Macaca mulatta: one gene and its partners. The main gene of each other region encodes a partner of the protein of the gene in region 2 in a complex. Links are inferred from orthologs where the notes say so. Each region holds a gene or a part of one and is shown on either strand. Other genes may lie near its edges.

What was found.
Region 1: the proteins of AP1M1 (region 2) and AP1G1 are in contact, whole or in part, in a cryo-EM structure (PDB 7R4H), measured with the Mus musculus proteins. The link is inferred for Macaca mulatta from reciprocal best matches to the Homo sapiens genes AP1M1 and AP1G1. Residues at the interface, in NP_031482.1 of Mus musculus: Ser289, Asn318, Asp319, Ala320, Asp321, Ser322, Trp334, Pro336, Glu337, Asn338, Ser339, Gly361, Leu362, Pro363, Ser364, Val365, Glu366, Ala367, Glu368; in NP_001288140.1 of Mus musculus: Arg24, Glu25, Gln28, Lys29, Ala32, Arg35, Ser36, Arg39, Glu40, His64, Phe65, Gln67, Leu68, Gln97, Val99.
Region 3: the proteins of AP1M1 (region 2) and AP1S1 are in contact, whole or in part, in a crystal structure (PDB 1W63), measured with the Mus musculus proteins. The link is inferred for Macaca mulatta from reciprocal best matches to the Homo sapiens genes AP1M1 and AP1S1. Residues at the interface, in NP_031482.1 of Mus musculus: Lys12, Glu31, Asn186, Asn188, Val189, Leu190, Glu232, Glu234, Asn270, His272, Arg421; in NP_031483.1 of Mus musculus: Lys26, Lys30, Arg33, Glu34, Gln37, Lys43, Glu51, Trp52, Arg53, Asp54.

What each region holds. Positions count from the first base shown.
Region 1 is NC_133425.1:68,066,400-68,072,693, reverse strand, and holds the start of AP1G1 (AP-1 complex subunit gamma-1), read right to left. Parts: upstream 3,797-6,294; 5' UTR 3,494-3,796; intron 1-3,493. UniProt on the Homo sapiens protein: Subunit of clathrin-associated adaptor protein complex 1 that plays a role in protein sorting in the late-Golgi/trans-Golgi network (TGN) and/or endosomes.
Region 2 is NC_133424.1:16,701,930-16,707,503, reverse strand, and holds part of AP1M1 (AP-1 complex subunit mu-1), read right to left. Parts: intron 5,059-5,574; coding exon 4,932-5,058; intron 3,927-4,931; coding exon 3,784-3,926; intron 3,338-3,783; coding exon 3,266-3,337; intron 2,726-3,265; coding exon 2,567-2,725; coding exon of another isoform or gene 2,473-2,566; intron 1-2,472. UniProt on the Homo sapiens protein: Subunit of clathrin-associated adaptor protein complex 1 that plays a role in protein sorting in the trans-Golgi network (TGN) and endosomes.
Region 3 is NC_133408.1:48,411,970-48,418,305, forward strand, and holds the start of AP1S1 (AP-1 complex subunit sigma-1A), read left to right. Parts: upstream 1-2,540; 5' UTR 2,541-2,579; coding exon 2,580-2,582; intron 2,583-4,637; coding exon 4,638-4,816; intron 4,817-5,405; coding exon 5,406-5,514; intron 5,515-6,336. UniProt on the Homo sapiens protein: Subunit of clathrin-associated adaptor protein complex 1 that plays a role in protein sorting in the late-Golgi/trans-Golgi network (TGN) and/or endosomes.

The sequences.
Region 1 (6,294 bases), on a different chromosome or scaffold from region 2:
GCTTGTAACCCCAGCTACTTGGGAGGCTGAAGCAGCAGAAATCACTGGAATCCAGGAGGTGGAGGTTGCACAGTGAGCCGAGATCCAGCCACTGTACTCCAGGCTGGGAGACAGAGCAAGACTTTGTCTCAAAAAACAAAACAAAACAACAAGAACTGAAAACAATTCATGAAGCAAGGATAGACTAAATTACAAGCACTTAAAATAGTATTTTTTAATTTTCTGAAGCTCTAAGTAAGAGTTTTAAAGTTTTGATAGCAATTAAGTCCTGCTATATACACAAAATTTTAAAATCCTCGTCAAATGCAAATAAGGGGATTAAGCATTGTGGAAAATGTGTTTTGGTATGTAGGTTGCCAATTCAACTTTTTAAATTAAAAATAATCTCTTGGAAAATACTCATTCAATTTTTTAAATTTGTATAAATTAAAGAGTTTTGGCCAGGTGAGGTGGCTCACACCTGTAATCCCAGCACTTTGTTTGGGAGGCCAAGGCAAGAGGATTGCTTGAGCCCAGCCTGCGCAACATGACAAAATACTATCAATACAAAAAATACAAAAATTAGCCCTGCGTGGTGGAACACGCCTGTAGTCCCAGCTATGTGGAGAGCTGAGGCAGGAGGATTGCTTGAGCCCAGGAGGTCCAGGCTGCAGTGAGCAGAGACCACTGCACTCCAGCCTGGGCAACAGAGTGAGACCCTGTTCAAACAATAAAAATAATAAGAAATAAGAGTTTTTATAAATCATAAAGAAGTTGGTTTTGGTTTGCATACCACTGATTTTTAAAACTCCTTTTTAAAATAAACACTGGGGTGAAATATCACCAAGGCATTCCTGGCAATTTCTGTACTTTATAGTTTCACTCTAAAATCTGCCCTCAAATCTAGAACTGCTAACAATGACAGAGGTCAGACCAAAGAATAAGCAACTGCTCCCAAAAGAAACGGAGGTTTCCTAAACACAAAGCAGATATTCAAATATGCACTGATCAATGGTGCACTAAACAACACTTTGCTAGGAATTTGTTAAGGCAAAAGGACCCTTCCCCCAGTGAATGCAAACTATCTAAGAATGAATTTTTAAAAGTTTAATATTTTAAAATATTTTGGTAGAGACAGAGTCTCACTATGTTGCCCAGGCTGGCCTCTAACTCCTGGGCTCAAGGGATCCACCTTCCACTTCCCAAAGTGTTGGGATTACAAACATGAGCCACAGAGCACCCGCCTGAATGACATTTAAATACCAACATATTAAAGCATGAAAAACACTGAGTTAACTAACATCTATGTGATAGCTCTGCTAACACCTTACTTGAAAAGTCTAAGTCAGAAATGGCACATTTCAGTAGTAACTGCAAGGGCATACTTAGTAAATGAGCGATCATTACATAGGTGTTCAGTGTTTGACAGTTCCTTTAAACCAAAAGAGAAAATTACATAGCTTCAGGGTGATACAGAACTCACATATCTAATAGTAACTAACATGTTTTTGAAAAATCTCCTTAAAACAAGCAACAAGATCACTGAGTATTTACACTGAAAATACTGTTTTCTCCTGAGACATCATATGACCTATACAGGAATTTATCTACAATCTCATTTCAATAACCTGATAAGAATAATGCATCTATATATGTGGCTTAGCAGTATTAAAAAGCTTGACTCAGTTCAAGTTATAAATTTAAATTTCATCCACTAGACTGTGATCTCAAATAAGTTAACTTCTCTTTTGCAGATGTAAAAACCCAGGCTGAGATGAAATAAGGGTGATTCAATCACACTCGCCTAACTTGAAACGTAGGAAATGTATCAGTGAATTACTGTGAAATACTTTTTATTCGCCAGGCACCGTGGCTCACGCCTGTAATCCTAGCACTTTGGGAAGCCAAGGTGGGCGGATTGCCTGAGCTCAGGAGTTCGAGATCAGCCTGGGCAACATGGTGAAACCCATCTCTACTAAAATACAACAACAAAAAAAAATTAGCCGGGCGTGGCAGCGTGCACCTGTAGTCCCAGCTACTTGGGAGGTTGAGGCAGGAGAATTGCTTGAATCCAGGAGGCGTAGGTTGCAGTGAGTCGAAGGTTGCAGTGAGCCGAGACCGTGCCACTGCACTCCAGCCTGGAGACAGAGCCAGACTCCGTCTCAAAAAATAATAATAATAATAAAAATTAAAACAAAGAAATACTTTTCATTCAAGCATGCTAGACTGCAAACATGCTTTTAGAATAAAAGTGACTAGATTACTAGTACTTAGAGGGTTCATATTTTTCAAACTTGAAAGTTAGGCTGTATGACAACTTAGGTATTTGACAAGTATTCTAGGGAAGGGTGGAAGTGAATATTTAAAATTCAACTATCCCCAGAAAAACCCAATACATGAAGTCATTACAAGTATTTTTTACAATCAGTCAGCAAAGATCATTACTGTACAAACACCTCAAAGTTAAGGTCACTAAGAAAGCACTAACTCCTCTCCTCGGTTAACGAATAAAGCAGCCCAACTCTCCTTTCTACCTACCTCAGATTAATATTTTTCTCCATGGACAGATTTCCATGCTCAGGGATATGTAATAGGGGAGGATAAAAAAAAAAAAAAACACCACACAAGTGTCAGTGAGTACCAAAAAGCTAAGTGTTCAGCACAGGAAGGGAATCCACAAATGAGAAAACATTTGACAGCTCCCGCCTCCCAAAAGCCATTTAATCTGCCTCATAAACATTACTGCTGAAGCACACTCTGAGCGAGTGTTTCGATGGATCTCCTACACCAAGTCTCCTAACCGGGAAACAATCAACTGAATCGTCCCGACTCTTTCAGGCAATCAGGAAGCCCGGGAGAATTATTAGACGCTGACGTCCGCAGGCCCAGGAGCTGAGAAAAGGGTAAACAGTACACTCGCAGGTAGGCTGAAAAAAACAAAACAACAACAAACACACACACACACACGCGCGCGCGGAAAATTGGGAAAGAAGTTGGTTGGAAGGTTAGAGAGAGGCGAGGCCGATGTCTGGTTCCGACAGGACGGCACTGCAGGGGCAGGCAGCGATTAACTGGGCATTTGGAAATGCTGAGAGTTATCTGAGAGACCTGACACGGGTACAAGACACAAGAACGCTGGTACGTGGCTCAGAGAAGACACGCGGGGGTGGGGCCAGCCGCGCTAAACCCCAGGCTCCCTGAATGAGCCCTCAAAGATCGCAGCCTGAGAAAGTCAAAGGTTCAAGGAGGCCCGTACCCGCGGGGCAACGCCACTACCCGGAACACCGCTGCGCGCGGAACCTCCCGGTCCGAGGCCTCGGGGTCGGCCCTCCAGAAGTCGGAGCAGCCCCTGGGGCTCCCGGCCCCTCCTGGCCCAGCCTCTCTGTCCTCTCTTCTCAACACCCACAGCCTGGGACCGGACCCCTGAAACTGAAAGGAAGCTTCCGGTCGAGCGCCCGCGCCAGCGGCGGGGCAAAAGCAGCAATATGCTCTAAGTGCCGCCAGTGACACTCACCGGCCCGAAACCTCGAATGAAACCAGCAGCTCCGGGGGCGGCGGCAGCAGTGGCAGCAGGAACCGAACATCCAAAATGGCGGCTCCCTCGGCCTCACCACTGCTACTGCAGGCGGAGGGATCCTAAGGAAGAAGAGAGTTTTTAACTAACTTCACACACTATTGAGGAAACTTCGATCCCTGGCCTCCTCGTCTAGTCGCTTCCGTGTCCCTGCACTGCAACTTCTCGTGCCTCTCCTCTCGGATTAACCAAGAACTCGGACCCTGCCGAGGACTATTTGCCAAGGAGGAGGCGACTGCTTCTGGCAGAGCGACGCAAAGCGTAGCAAGGGTCAGGGCTGTCACTGATGACGCGAGACGCTGCTGCCGAGTCACCGCTGCGAAGAGTCTGAGCGAGAAAGATCCGGCCGACCCCAGAGCGGACAGACATTGGTTCCGCTTGGCGGGAGGCGGGGGAGGGGCTGGGCTACCAGGAAGCGGTGGGGCCACCTGGAGGAGGCGGAGCTAGGTCAGGTAGTCCAGGAAGTGGGAGCAGGCGAGGCAGGTGGGGGCGGAGAAGATAGCAGAGATGAAATGGTGTTCATCCACGGGCATCCCAAACTCTTTGCTGTCTCCTGTAAGATTTTTGCTTTCTTTTTAACTGAAGGAGCATGCTCCAGGTGGTATTCTATGGTTTTATGGTGTCTTTGCAACATATTTTACGAAGAGTTAAGAGGATGACTCACAAGAATGGATTCCACGCCCAGTACCGCGGTTCATGCACAGCTCAAGTCACTTAAACTCCAGGGATTCCGTTTCCTCGTATGTAGAAAGAAGACTTGGACTCATGTTAGCTGAAACCCTTACGGAATGGGCTTTCGGTCTATGACTCCATGAATTAATGACCAGGGCCAAAGAAAGTCTAACCAGACAGTTCCTAACCTGATAAATAATTACTAACATATGACGCGAGTCTTTTCCGTGTGAACGTAAAGGGGGCCTGATACCTTGGCCTGTTTAAAGTAAAGGTGACCTACCTAGACCAAAATCCTTCCGCTAGATTGGCAACAAAGTACAATACAACACAGCACCAGGCTGGGTGCCAAACAGAACAGAACCAACTGCACAATTTTTTTTTTTTTTTTTTTTTTTTTTTTTTTTTTTTTTAGACAGTCTCGCTCTGTTGCCCAGGCTGGAGTGCAGGTGCGGCATCCCGGCTCACTGCAACCTTTGCCTCCCGGGGTCAAGCAATTTCTCGTGCTTCAGCCTCCCAAGTAGCTGGGATTACAGGCTCCCACCACCGCAGCCGGCTAATATTTGCATTTTTAATACAGAGAGCGTTTCGCTATGTTGGCCAGGCTGGTCTTGAACTCCTGACCTCAGGTGATCCGCCTGCCTCGGGCTCCCAAAGTGTGGAGATGACAGGTGTGAGCCACCAGCCTGCCCAGAACTAACCACAAATCTTGAGTTTAGGACCTGGGTGTCATAGAGAGAAGGTTGCACCTTTTTCCTTAGTCATTTTCATGCACGGATTCAAAATACTTTACAAAAATTGCTCTAAGTAGGCCGGCGCAATGGCTCGCGCCTGTAATCCCAGCACTTTGGGAGGCTGAGGCGGGCGGATCTCCCAAGGTCGGAAGGTCGAGACCAGCCTGGCCAACATGGTGAAACTCCATCTCTACTAAAAATACAAAATTAGCCAGGCATGGTGGTGGGCACTTGTAAACCCAGCTACTTGGAAGGCTGAGGCAGGAGAGTCGCTTGAACCCCGGAGGCAGGGGTTGCAGTTAGCCAAGCCTGGGCGACAGAGTGAGACCCTGTCTCAAAAACACACGAAAAAAGTTGAACCAAGCAGGCCCATCTGTACAATTTTGTCCCTGAACTACGGGGGCATGCCAAGTGGCTGGAAAGAAATGAGGCCATGGGTGCGATAATAATTATCATTTTTATTATTAAATATTGATATCACATTGTTCATGAGGCACTTTCATGTGTGTAATCTAATCTGATCCTCTGGACAACCTCCTGAGTCAGGCTAGTCAAACATAAGTAACTTAGCTTTACAAATAAGGAGAAACAGGCTCCAAGAAACTGACTTGGCTAAAAGACACATCCTCTCCCCTCTTCCACTGGGGTTCTGTTAAAGAGTGCCTTTTTTTTTTTTTTTTTTTTTTTTTTTGAGGCGGAGTCTCACTCTGTCGCCCAGGCTGGAGTGCAGTGGCCGGATCTTGGCTCGCTACAAGCTCCGCCTCCCGGGTTCCCGCCATTTTCCTGCCTGAGCCTCCCGAATAGCTGGGACTACAGGTCCCCGCTACCGTGCCCGACTATTTTTTGTATTTTTAGTAGAGATGGGGTTTCACCGTGTTAGCCAAGGTGGTCTCGATCTCCTGACCTCATGATCCACCCACCTCGGCCTCCCAAAGTGCTGGGATTACAGGCGTGAGGCACCGTGCCCGGCCTTTTTTTTTTTTTTTTTTTTTTTTTTTTTGAGACAGAGTTTCCTCTTGTTGCCCAAGCTGGAGTGTAATGATGTGATCTCGGCTCACTGTAGCCTCCGCCTCCTGGGTTCAAGCGATTGTCCTGCCTCAGCCTTCCAAGTAGCTGGGACTACACAGGTATGCGCCACCATGCCCAGATAATTTTTTGTATTTTTAGTAGAAATGAGGTTTCACCATGTTAGCCAGGCTGGTCTCGAACTCCTGACCTCGGGTGATTCGCCCACCTCGGCCTCCCAAAGTGCTGGGATTGCAGGCATGAGCCACCGCGCCAGGTCAGAGTGCCATTTTATAAATTAGCATAGGGTACCACCAACTTCCACCACCC
Region 2 (5,574 bases):
GCGCCATTCTCCTGCCTCAGCCTCCTGAGTAGCTGGGACTACAGGCGCCCGCCACCGCGCCCGGCTAATTTTTTGTATTTTAGTAGAGACGGGGTTTCACCGTGTTAGCCAGGATGGTCTCGATCTACTGACCTCGTGATCCGCCTGCCTCGGCCTCCCAAAGTGCAGGGATTACAGGCGTGAGCCACCGCGCCCGGCCGTCTCTTTGTATTTCTTAAAATTTATTTCCTGCACTTCCTTTTGTCTTTAGGGTGTGTTACTTGAAGTAATGTGTATCTGTAGCTGTCATCAACTTGATATGCTGATGAATTAATTTTGCTTTTCATTTTTAGGAATTACCTTTTTTTCCATTTTGATTTAATTTTGTTTTATATGCTTGGAAAGCACTGACAGGTATACCTTGAGATATTGCAGTTTGGACACTGCCATAAAGCACATAGCACAGTTAGGCAAGTCACACACATTTTTTGGTTTCCCAGTGCATATAAAAGTTATGTTTACTGGCCGGGCTCGGGGGCTCACGCCTGCAATCCCAGCACTTTGGGAGGTTGAGGCAGGTGGATCACAAGGTCAGGAGTTCGTGATCAGCCTGGCCAATATGGTGAAACCCCATGTCTACTAAAAATACAAAAATTAGCCAGGCGGCCGGGCGCAGTGGCTCACGCCTGTAATCCCAGCACTTTGGGAGGCCGAGACAGGCGGATCACAAGGTCAGGAGATCAAGACCATCCTGGTTAACATGGTAAAACCCCGCCTCTACTAAAAATACAAAAATTAGCCGGGCGTGGTGGCAGACGCCTGTAGTCCCAGCTACACGGGAGGCTGAGGCAGGAGAATGGCGTGAACCCGGGAGGCAGAGCTTGCAGTGAGTGGAGATCACGCCACTGCACTCCAGCCTGGACAACAGAGAGACTCCGTCTCAAAAAAAAAAAAAAAAAAAAAAAAATTAGCCAGGCATGGTGGTGCATGCCTGTAATCCCAGCTGCTCGGGAGGCTGAGGCAGAAGAATCGCTTGAACCTGGGAAGTGGAGGCTGCAGTGAGCCGAGATTGTGCCACTGCACTCCAGCCTGGGTGACAGAGCAAGACTGTCTTCAAAAAACAAAAAAGCTTACTGTATAATGTAGTCTGAATAATGTGCAACAGTATTATGTCTAAGAGAATGTACATACCTTAGTTAAAACATACTTTATTGCTAAAGAGTGACAACACAGAGACGCGAAGTGAGCACGTGCTGTTGGGATAATGGCGCCAACAGACTTGCTCAACATAGGGTTGCCACATACCTTCCATTTGTTTAAAAACTGAAACAAAAATAAAAATGCAGTATCTGGGAAACACAATAAAATGAGGTGTGCCCGTGCATGGCTTCGAAGTCAAATCTACACAAGCACGGTCCACGCTGGCCTGTGCCTCGGCCTTTAGCCCTGTCCCTTCCTCCTCCGTCTACAGCTCACCATGCTGTTTATTTGATGAGGTATTCTCCCATTGTGTTTTAAATGACAAACACTATTTTCAACAGTGGAATTGCAGGAAAAGAAGAGATAATCCAGCAATCAGGGATGGTCACCACCCCTCCATGGAATATTCCACAGCTCCCAAAGCCGACCGCCAAGAAGACAGTGAACACCAGAAGGAAAACGCTCGGCCGCAGCGCCGCGTGGAAGGGCAGGCGCCGAGTTGGCTCTACTTACGTATAATGAGGAAGACCAAAATACGCAGAAAGAAAGGTGAGAAGGAGACGCGCAGAAAGGCTGCCGGGAGTATTAGGTGGTGGGGTAATGGGCTTTTCTCTCTCCTTCCTCTACTGTCTGCATTTTATGTCATGTGATTAGATTGAGGCCGGGAGGGAAAGTGCCATCATGAAATTCAAGGCGCTTGAATTGCAGCATTTCCAGCTTAACTCAGCTGGGGCTGCAGCCGGAGAGACGGGAGAACATGGAAAGTAGCGCCTGCCCTGAGCCCGCCTGGCGGAGCAGGTCAGTGCCAACCAGCTTGGCTCCAGAGCCACGCCCGGGCCTAGCCTCTCTGTGCACTGCGTACACCCAGCAAGCCCAGACTCAAGCCCTCAGAATCCTTAACACGGTGCCGGGGAAGTCATGCCAGTGCAGAGCTGGCCCAGGACATGGGCGGCTGGTGCAGGGCTCGGGAGGCTGTGCTGCTCTGGCCTACAGGCAGCCATGCCCCTTGATGGCAGGCAAGGCTGAGCCTGCACGGAAAGGGCCTGCACCTGCCGGAGTGGACGGGGCTCCTCCAGGGCCTGCATGGACAGGAGCCCCATCTCACATCAGTACTCGGGGGCAGCACAGAGAGGGAGAGGGCACTGCCCTGAGGTTGAAGACAGAGGCTGGTTCACAAACAAGAGGAAAGCAGAAAGGGGCCCAGGGGCCAAGTCAGCCTTTGACTCCTCCCGCTTTCCCTCCAGTCCTTGGCTCTCCGTCCACCCTTTCAGAAGTCCCAGGTGTGGGGGACACGGTGGCGACGGTCACCCCATCTCGAGGTGCAGGGGTCCTGCGGCACCCAGGCTGCCTTGCAGGGGGCATGTGGATGTCTGGATGGAGTGCTCACCGGGAAGGACTTGATGGACCACACGATCTCGCTGTTCTCGGGGACCCACTTGACGCTCCCCACCGTCGTCTTGAACTTGGGTGAGTCGGCATCATTGGGCACGGGAATGTGGATCTCCACGTTGTTGGCTGTTGACCGCCGCTTGAACTGGCTTTTGGCCTGCAGGCCAGGCCGATGTGGCCCAGGGTTATGGAGGCCAAAGTGAGCTAGCCCAGCCCCTCCAGGCCACATGTCCCTCAGCCTGGCCTGGGGAATCCTCCCTAGCCCCACTTCTCCAGGCACTACTCCTACCCTTGAGACTCTCCCAAGGCCTAATTTCAGGCGTTTCATCTTTGTCCTCCTGTCTGCTCAGCTTCCAAGGCTCCCCATCCCTCCCTCTGCCCTGCCCTCCTAGGACAATGTCTGTGTCCCAGGGTCAGGCTGCGCTGGACAGGGTCACTGAGGGGCAGAGGTGCTCCACTGGGGGCAATACCTCTGGGAGTGTCCTGGATGCCTAGTTACAGGCCCCTCCCCACAAGTGGCACCATCTAGGAGCAGGCCCCAGGCGTTGTCTCCTCAGTGTCAGGCCACGCCTGCATCTGAGGCCACAGCGAGGGTGCATGGATGGCAGCCCTACGGCACCCCCAGCCCTCGGTCAGGCCCCCAGGACGGGCCAGAGACACCAGAAGGCCCTCAGTGGGTGGCCTCGGGCCCCCGCACCTTGATCATGTACTCGATGCGGCTGTGGGAGTGCTTCTCAATCACCGACTCGATCCATATCAAAGGCTTGACCTGCCGAGGAGGGCAGAGAGGGTGCTCACACGTGGCCGTGTTTGACAAAGGCCCATTTCAGAGAGGAAACCAAGGCCCAGGGCAAGGGGCCATCTGCCCAGCTGTTGGCCCAGGGCCCTGTGGGGAGTGCATGGCCAGCGTCAGGGAGGGTCAGGGCAGACAGGCCGAGGCAGCAGGGAGCTACTAGGGAGGCCTCGGTGCAAATGCAGAAAACATGCGCAGGGCCTGCTCTAGGGGGCTGCCTAGGAAAGAGGTGTGGTGGCCAAAGGGGTCTGTGCCCCTCAGAAAGCTCGGAGTCCCAGGTCCTCAGACTCCATCTCTGCGGAGCCAGGCAGCTCATGGAGCATGGGGTGGGGCCAGCCCCGGCGCCTGCCTGGGCTTCACCTCCTGGAGGTGAAGGGGAGGAGGCGGCCACCAACAGCCCAGCCCCGGGGCGGCGCACTCACGTGGGTGTTGAGGCGGTAGGACATGAGCTCGAACTCGCCGTCGGGCGGGATGAAGGAGATGGTGCGGTCGTTCTCGAAGCGTGATAGCCGCACACACTGGTGGAACTTCACATCCTCCAGCTCCACGGATTTGCTTTTGCCGCCTGGGGTCAGGGGTGAGGGTAGAACAGACCTGGGCCCTCCGGGTCACTCTCTCAGCAGTACTCCTACCCCCTGGGACCCACCCCAGCAGAGCAGGGCCCCCAGTCCACGCAGTAACAGCAGCCTGGGCCACAAACACCAAGGGGGCTGGGTCCCAAGACAACTGCCCCGTCACTCCTCATACTCCTGGGGTCCCGGGGGGCAGGGCTGGTGGGTCTGGTTCATGCTGAGTCTCCAGCGACCACCCCAGGGCCCAGCCAGAGGACCTGCTCAGGACACGTTCACTGAATGATTGATCGATGGACTCGGCTGGGGGATGGCTCGGGGCTCCCCAAGGGCTCAGGCCCCGGCATCCACGGGGTCCTGGGTCTTCCTCGGTTTCCCACCTCACTGAGGGCTATGTGGGTGGGGCCTTGCCCAGCCCCAGGCGGGGAGCTGCCCTCATGGGCTGATGCCCAAGAAGCCCTCACTGGGCCAGGAACGGGGGCATGCCTAGCCACTGCACCCTCTTCCAGTGGCCTGTGACAGCTGAGAGGCGGGAGGCACAGTTTGCAAACCCAGGCCCTGAGCCCCTCTGAGCCCCTCTGACCCCTGCCGTGGGAAGTGTTACAGACCAGCGGCAGGAGCGAGAATCACCGTGTGTGGCCTTCACACAGCCCACACCTAGGGCCCAAGGTGAAGGGAGAACCTGGCCTGGGAGGGAGCGAGCAAGGCCTCAGCCTGAGCTCCAGCGGCCTGGGCAGTGCAGGGCAGGGTGCAAGACCTGGCATGTGAGGCCAGGTGATGGGGGCCTCCCAGCTGGACTGGAGGATTTCACTCCCCTGCGCCTTCTATGTCCCGGGATGGATGAATACTCTACACAGCTGTCTCAAGCAGGGTGAAATGCTGCTAAACCAAGTGCTTGAAACTAGCTTGTTCCTCCGCCTGGCCCAACCCTGCCCTGGGCTGTAATGTGCGTGCCCGGTGAAGCCGTCCTCATGGGCAGGGCCCTTGGCACAGGTACTCACGGCCCGTGTTGTCGAAGAGGACCTTGTCATTGAGGCCCAAGCGCAGCTCGGGCATGCCCGAGAGGAAGACCCGCATCTTGATGGAGCCCACGATCTCGCTGCGCAGGACGTTGCCATTGGCGCTGACCTGGGGGGGGTGGTGTGGGCGTGAGGGGAGGTCTGCAACTCACCAGCCACTGCCTCCTACCACGTCATGTGACCCTCTGGCCACTCCACTCTCAACGCCCTTCTCACCTCCAAGCCCATCTCTCTCCTGGGTATCCCCTGAGCTGGGGGAGTCCCAACTGTGGCTCAGGCCTACCCCCAACCCAAACCAACCCATGCCTGGCTGAGGGTCCCCAGGCTCACCCACCCCCTATTCCAGCCTTAACGCTGGGGCCCTGTGGACATGAGGTGGACACTGTGGGTCCTGCCCTCTAGGCCTCAGGCCACAATGGGGCTTGGTGATGCGTGCCTGGAGCCCCCTCTGAGAGTTCTCTCTCAGGCACCAGTCCCTCCCTCCTGAGAGCCCCCTGAATGCCCCGGGCCGACCTGGCAGCTGGTCCCTGTGCTGAATCAGCCTCGAGAGGCCATGAGCTCGGCTGGCCCCAAGCCAGGACCTTATGGTCCCTGCTCACCCAGTGGGCTGGGCTGGGGTCTCTTG
Region 3 (6,336 bases), on a different chromosome or scaffold from region 2:
ACCTGTTTACAGTTGGGTAAACAGTTTAAAGATACCTGCAAGGACAGACTCCTCCAACTACAGAAAATCCAGATGTCCCAATACCCATAACAATATATGCTTTTAAGATAATTATAGTTCTGGCTGGGGATGGAGGCTAAGGCAGGAGGATTGCTTGAGGCCAGGAGTTCGAGACCAGCCTGGCCAACATAGCAAAACCCCCTCTCTACTAAAAATACAAAAATTAGCTGGACATGGTAGCACATGCCTATAATCCCAGTAGTGAGACCCCATCTCTACAACAAAATATTTTTGTAATTAACTGGATGCACTGGTTCATGCCTGCAGTCACAGCTACTTGGGAGGCTGAAATGGAAGGATGTAACTGTAATCCAGCTACTAGGGAGGCTGAGACACAAGAATGGCTTGAACCCAGGAGGTGGAGGTTGCAGCGAGCTGAGATCACACCACTGCACTCCAGCCTGCGCGACAGATCAAGACTCTGTCTCAAAAAAAAAAAAAAAAAAGGAAGAAAGATAATTATAGTTTTGCTTTGATGTACTTACCTACTAGAATGTCAAGGATAGTTAAATCAACAGAATAATAAATTTTGTCATGCCATTGGCCCATCTGCACATTGACTCAGCTTAGTTTAGTCTGTACAAAAACAAGACCCCTATATAAGAAAAACTTGGCGGGCCGCGGTGGCTCACGCCTATAATCCCAGTACTTTGGGAGGCCGAGGTGGGCGGATCACGAGGTCAGGAGACTGAGACCATCCTGGCTAACAGGGTGAAACCCCGTCTCTACTAAAAATACAAAGAAATTAGCCAGGTGTGGTGGCGGGCACCTGTAGTCCCAGCTACTCAGGAGGCTGAGGCAGGAGAATGGCTAAACCCGGGAGGCGGAGCTTGCAGTGAGCTGAGATCGCGCCACTGCACTCCAGCCTGGGCGACAGAGCAAGACTCTGTTTCAAAAAAAAGAAAAACTTAAAGGTCAGGGGCGGTGGCTCATGCCCATAATTCCAACACTTTGGGAAGCCGAGGAGGTTGGATAGCCTGAGCCCAGGAGTTCCAGACCAGCTTGGGTAGCATGACAAAACCCTGTCTCTACAAAACATACAAAAATTAGCTGGGTGTTGGGGGGGCACGCCTGTAGTCCCAGCTACTTGGGAGACTGAGGTGGGAGGATCGCTGGAGCCCAGGAGGTGGAAGCTGTAGTGAACTATAATCATGCTACTACACTCCAGACTGGGCAACAGAGTAAGACCCTGTCTCAAAAAAAGAAAAAAGAAAAAAGAAAGAAAAGGAAAAATTAAGACAGTGTGTTCCTCTGTTTGCTTTCTGAGGACGCCCTACTCCGTAAGGGGACAGCTTTCAATAAACTCTCTCTTCTCATAGCACTCTGCGGCTTGCTTTGAATTTCTTCTGCATGAGATACAAGAATCCTCTCTTGGGGTCTGGATCAGGACCCCTTTTTCCAGTAACACGTAGACACACACACACATTCAGTTTAAAAGCCCATATTACAATGTACATCCACCTCATCTTCACACTGAGATTTGGGTTACATCTGTCCCTTTTTGAGTTTTGACCCAAGTTAACCTTTTAAGACGCTCTTTATTTCTTCCCCTTTTGCCTCAATTCACTTTCCTCCTCCTTCTCCTTACATGCCTTTTATAGCAGCCTCTCCTTTTCTCTTTTATTCATTTTCTACACATTTCTCTTACTTTAAGATCAGAAGTCAGGCGCGGTGGCTCACACCTGTAATCCCAGCACTTTGAGAAACCAAGGCGGGAGGGTCTCTTGAACCCAGGAGTTCGAGACCAGCTTGGGCAACATAGTAAGACCCCTGTCTCTACAAAAAAAAAATTTAAAAATTAGCTGGGCATGATGGTGTGCGTCTGTAGTCCCAGCTACTCAGGAGGCTGAGGCGGGAGGCTCGCTTGAGGCCAGGAGTTCAAGGCCGCAGAGAATCACGATCTCACCACTGCACTCCAGCCTGGGTGACGCGACCAGACCCTGTCTCTAAAAAGAAAAAAAATAGAGGGGTGTATCTATCACGCTCTCAATAGATATTTAGCTTGAGTTCTATACTTTTTTCATGACCGTTTGTCTCCTGTTTTTCAGGTCCTTCCTCCTCCCCTACACTCAATTCCCACCCTGCTCCCTCTTCACAGCTCACGCCCCTTCCAGGGGTCCTGCCTGCTGCCTCGAACTCCAATGATCGTCCCATTCACCTCTCACCCCTTTTCCCGCCTTTTTGCCCCACAAGGCTTCAAAGCGCGAGGATCTCATTGTCCTCCTCCCCCATCCTCCAACCAGCCCACAGGACAGCCGCGTTACCATGACGACCGGGCTCCTAGAAGCTGCAGTCAAGGACCTGGTTGCCATGGTTTCCGCTTCTCCGCCTCCAGCCCCGCCCGCGCTCCCCGCGGCGTCGGCGCCTGCGCAGTGTGTGGCGTGTCGGGAGTCAGAACCTGGGCGGGACGGGGCGGGGCTTCGGCCGAGAGGGAGGGAAGCCGGAGAAAGGATAAGAAAGGGAGTGGGACTGGCGCCTACGGTGGCCGAAGTGGGACGCGCCGAGCCGGAGGCTGCAGGATGGTAGGCTGTGCGAAGAGGGAGGGGAGGGGGAAGCGAGGGGCGTGGGCTGCACCTGCGGGGGTCCTCGGGGGCCGCCCTCGGGGTGAGCCTCTCTGTCTTCCCTCTGGTCCTCAGAGGCCTCCCTTGCCTCAGCTGGTGGGCGAGCCGGGCTCGGGAGGAAGAGTGGGAGGTGGCATTCGGGAGAGGGGCGGGGAGGGGGTGCATTTGCAGGGCGAGCGTGGGCTGACGAAGGGGCGGCGGGGCAGTCCCGAGCCGGGAGGGGCGCTTGGGTCTTGGCTCCCGGGGGTCCCTCGATCCCCGCCGCAGGGAAGCAGCCTAAAGCAGAGGGTTGTGGGGGTCTCTTTGCAGAGGGAGGGAGTGGGGGGTCACCGAGAACCCCTTCCCGGGCGGCACGGGCGGGAGCGGGGACCCCGGTGGGGAAAGGGGTGTGGGAGGGGAGTTTCCGGGTCGGAAAAGAGAGCGCCCTATTGGGTTCGTGGCGGTGCTTGCCTAGAGGCTGGGCCCAGGTAAGGAAGAGAGGTGGACTCGTGGTTTTGCTCCGAGGGACCCAGGCTTTGGGATCCCGGGCTCCAGGGCTCTCTGCCCCCAATCCCACTCTGTTTCCGGAACCCAGGCCTTCCGTCTTCCTGCTCGCTCCCCACCCCCCTATCTGAGCGCCGCACGAGGCTCCCCGGCGCCCCTCTTTTCCCCTCCACCAAAAAAATCAGTTCTCCTGAATTCTGATTTTTCACCTACTAAGCTATACAGTGCCACACACCCAGGGATTCCAACCCTGGGCATGTCCATGAATAGGAGAGCTGCTGGGGGAAGGAGAAGACTCCAGGATGTGGCCCAGACCCCCTGGAACTGGGAAGCTGGGGTGCACTGGGCAGTGAGGGTTCTGTCTTCCATCCCACTTGACCCAGCTTGCTGTCTGTTCTGCAGACATTCTTCAGGGGAACCCCCTGGGTGGCGGGGCCCTGAGGGAGATTGGTCACCTGGTGTCTGGGGAGGAGTGGGCGCTTAGCAGGAGGCACCCTAAAAGGGAGAAAAGTTAAAGAGAAATGTCAAAGACATCTGGGTACCCGCAGAGAGGAAGGTGGGATTTGGGCATCTCCATACCCTGTGTGGTGTTGGAAATACATACTGCAGAGGAGGATACCCCTGGCACTGGAGGGTGGTGTGTTTGGGATATCATTAAGATCTTATGGTTATGATGGGGTGGAAAATTGAGGTAGCTTCTCCAGGGACAAAATACCAGATTTCAGCACGGTGGTGGATAGAGAGAGGGTGGAAGAGAACAGGCATTTCTTTGGCATTGGTTACTGGTTTCTTGTCGCTCTGCTAGGCATTTTACTTACCTTTAGAAAGCAGAACCAGTAAGCAAGAGGTCAGGGAATCATGGTAATAATAATAGTAACTAACAACCGGGTGCAGTGGCTCACACCTGTAATGCCAGCACTTTGGGAGGCCGAGGTGGACGGATCACCTGAGGTCGGGAGTTCGAGACCAGGGCCTGGCCAACGTGGTGAAACCCCGTCTCTACTAAAAATACAAAAATTAGCTGGGTGTGGTGGCACATGACTGTAATCCCAGCTACTCAGGAGGCTGAGGCAGGAGAATCACTGGAACTCAGAAGGCGGAGATTGCACTGAGCAGTGATCGCACCACTGCACTCCAGCCTGGGTGACAGAGAGAGACGACAGAGAGAGACTTTGTCTCAAAAAAAATAATAATAGCTAACATGTTATACTGCCTGCCTGTGCTAGGGACTTGCATATATTAACTCATTTAGTCTCAACAACTGTGCAAGGCAGGTACGATGTCCATTTTACAGATAAGGAAACTGAGGCCCAGAGACTTACAGTAGTAATTGGCCCAAGGCCCTGCATAACTAGTAGAGCCAGGATTTGAACCCAAATGATGGACTCAGAAGCTCTGACTTCCCCCTGCTGGTGGAAATACCCAGCATTGAGAGCAAGGGGCTGGATGTTGGAAGAAAGTAGAGAAGAATTAGCCGGGATGAGTTTGGGGAATATGTGTTTACCCTTGGTTCTGCCCTCCCATCCCCCGCAGATGCGATTCATGCTGCTATTCAGCCGGCAGGGAAAACTGCGGCTGCAAAAATGGTACCTGGCCACTTCGGACAAGGAACGGAAGAAGATGGTGCGGGAGCTTATGCAGGTTGTCCTGGCTCGCAAGCCCAAGATGTGCAGCTTCCTGGAGTGGAGGGACCTCAAAGTTGTCTATAAGAGGTGACTCCCCACCTACTTTCAGACCTGCCTAGATTCGAGTTGGGCAGTGGGTTAAAATGGCTGAGAAATGGTCATCCTTTAGGTCAGGGAGACCTGGGAGCTGAGGACCTCTGGAGGACAGTGATGAATGTCAGCTTCCTTTTTTTTCCCCCCCAAACTCTTAAATAAGTTCTTGTTTACCACTTGGTTTTGCTCACGCGCAACACCTGCCTCACTCACGTTTCCCTTTGGGCCCTATCTTGCCCCACCGCACATGTCCCTTGCAGTCGGTCCTGCCCTACTTTTCCTAACACACACGCGCACACACCCTTTCCAGTTCCTTCTCTTCGGAGCAGGTAAATTACTTGGCTCAGGTTTTTGCTGAGTCAGACTTAGGAGGTCAGAGGGCAGGAAGGAAAAAGTGTGCATTCTTTGAGTGTTTTAAAGACAGCACAAAGAGGCAAATGAGTTACTCTTTACATGCCCTGGGGCCACCCCACCTGTGGCCAGCCAGGGCACAGACCACCCCCAGGCTGGTGGGAGGTTTGAGCCCAGAATGCCTGGGTCCTGAAGCAAGCTTGTAGCATGTCTCATGCATTCCTCTCCGCAGATATGCCAGCCTCTACTTCTGCTGCGCCATCGAGGGCCAAGACAATGAGCTCATCACACTGGAGCTGATCCACCGATACGTGGAGCTCTTAGACAAATACTTTGGCAGTGTAAGTCTCCTCTGCCCACCAGTTTCCATTCCCAGCAATCCCCTTTGGTAATCTACCAAACTTTGAGGCACCTCCAGTCTCTGCTCTGGAAGTCTCAGGGGAGAGGTGAAGTTGGAGCAGTAAGAACAGTAATTAATTTCCCTTTTTAAGCTTTAAGCCTATTAACCATGTCCCATAATCGTCCCTGAGTGGGGAGAGTGGGGGCAGGATCAGGCAGTTAATCTCCACTTAGAGCTTAGCTCGGACTTTTCACACAGAGACCAAGTTCAGATTTTTTGTTTAGTTTAAATTTTTATTTTTTTAGAAACAGAGCCTCACCCCGTCACCTGGAGGAATGCCTCCTATGGCTGGAGTGCAGTGGCACAATCATAGCTCACTGCAGCCTTAACCTCTGGGCTCAAGCCATCCTCCTGCCTCAGTACCCTGAGGAGCTGGGACTGCAAGTGCACACCACTACGCCCAGCTAATTTTTGTATTTTTTTTTTTTTTAGAGATGGGGTCTCGCTATGTTGCCCAGGCTGGTCTCTGGGGCTCAAGTGATCCTCCCACCTCAGCCTCCCGAAGTCTGGGATTACAGGCGTGAGCCACTGTACCTGGCCCCATATTCAGATTTTTATCACTGGTTCCTGATCTTGGATTTGCATTGGAATTTTCTGGAGAATTTTTTTGAATAGCAATGTCCACGTTCTACTATCAGAGATTCTGAATTAACTTATCTGAGGGATAGCTCAGATCTTAGATGGGGTGTAGTAATAACTCCATAATTTGTGTCCCACTTAACAATTTATAAAATGCTTTTGGGTCCTCTTGTTTGCTCCTTAT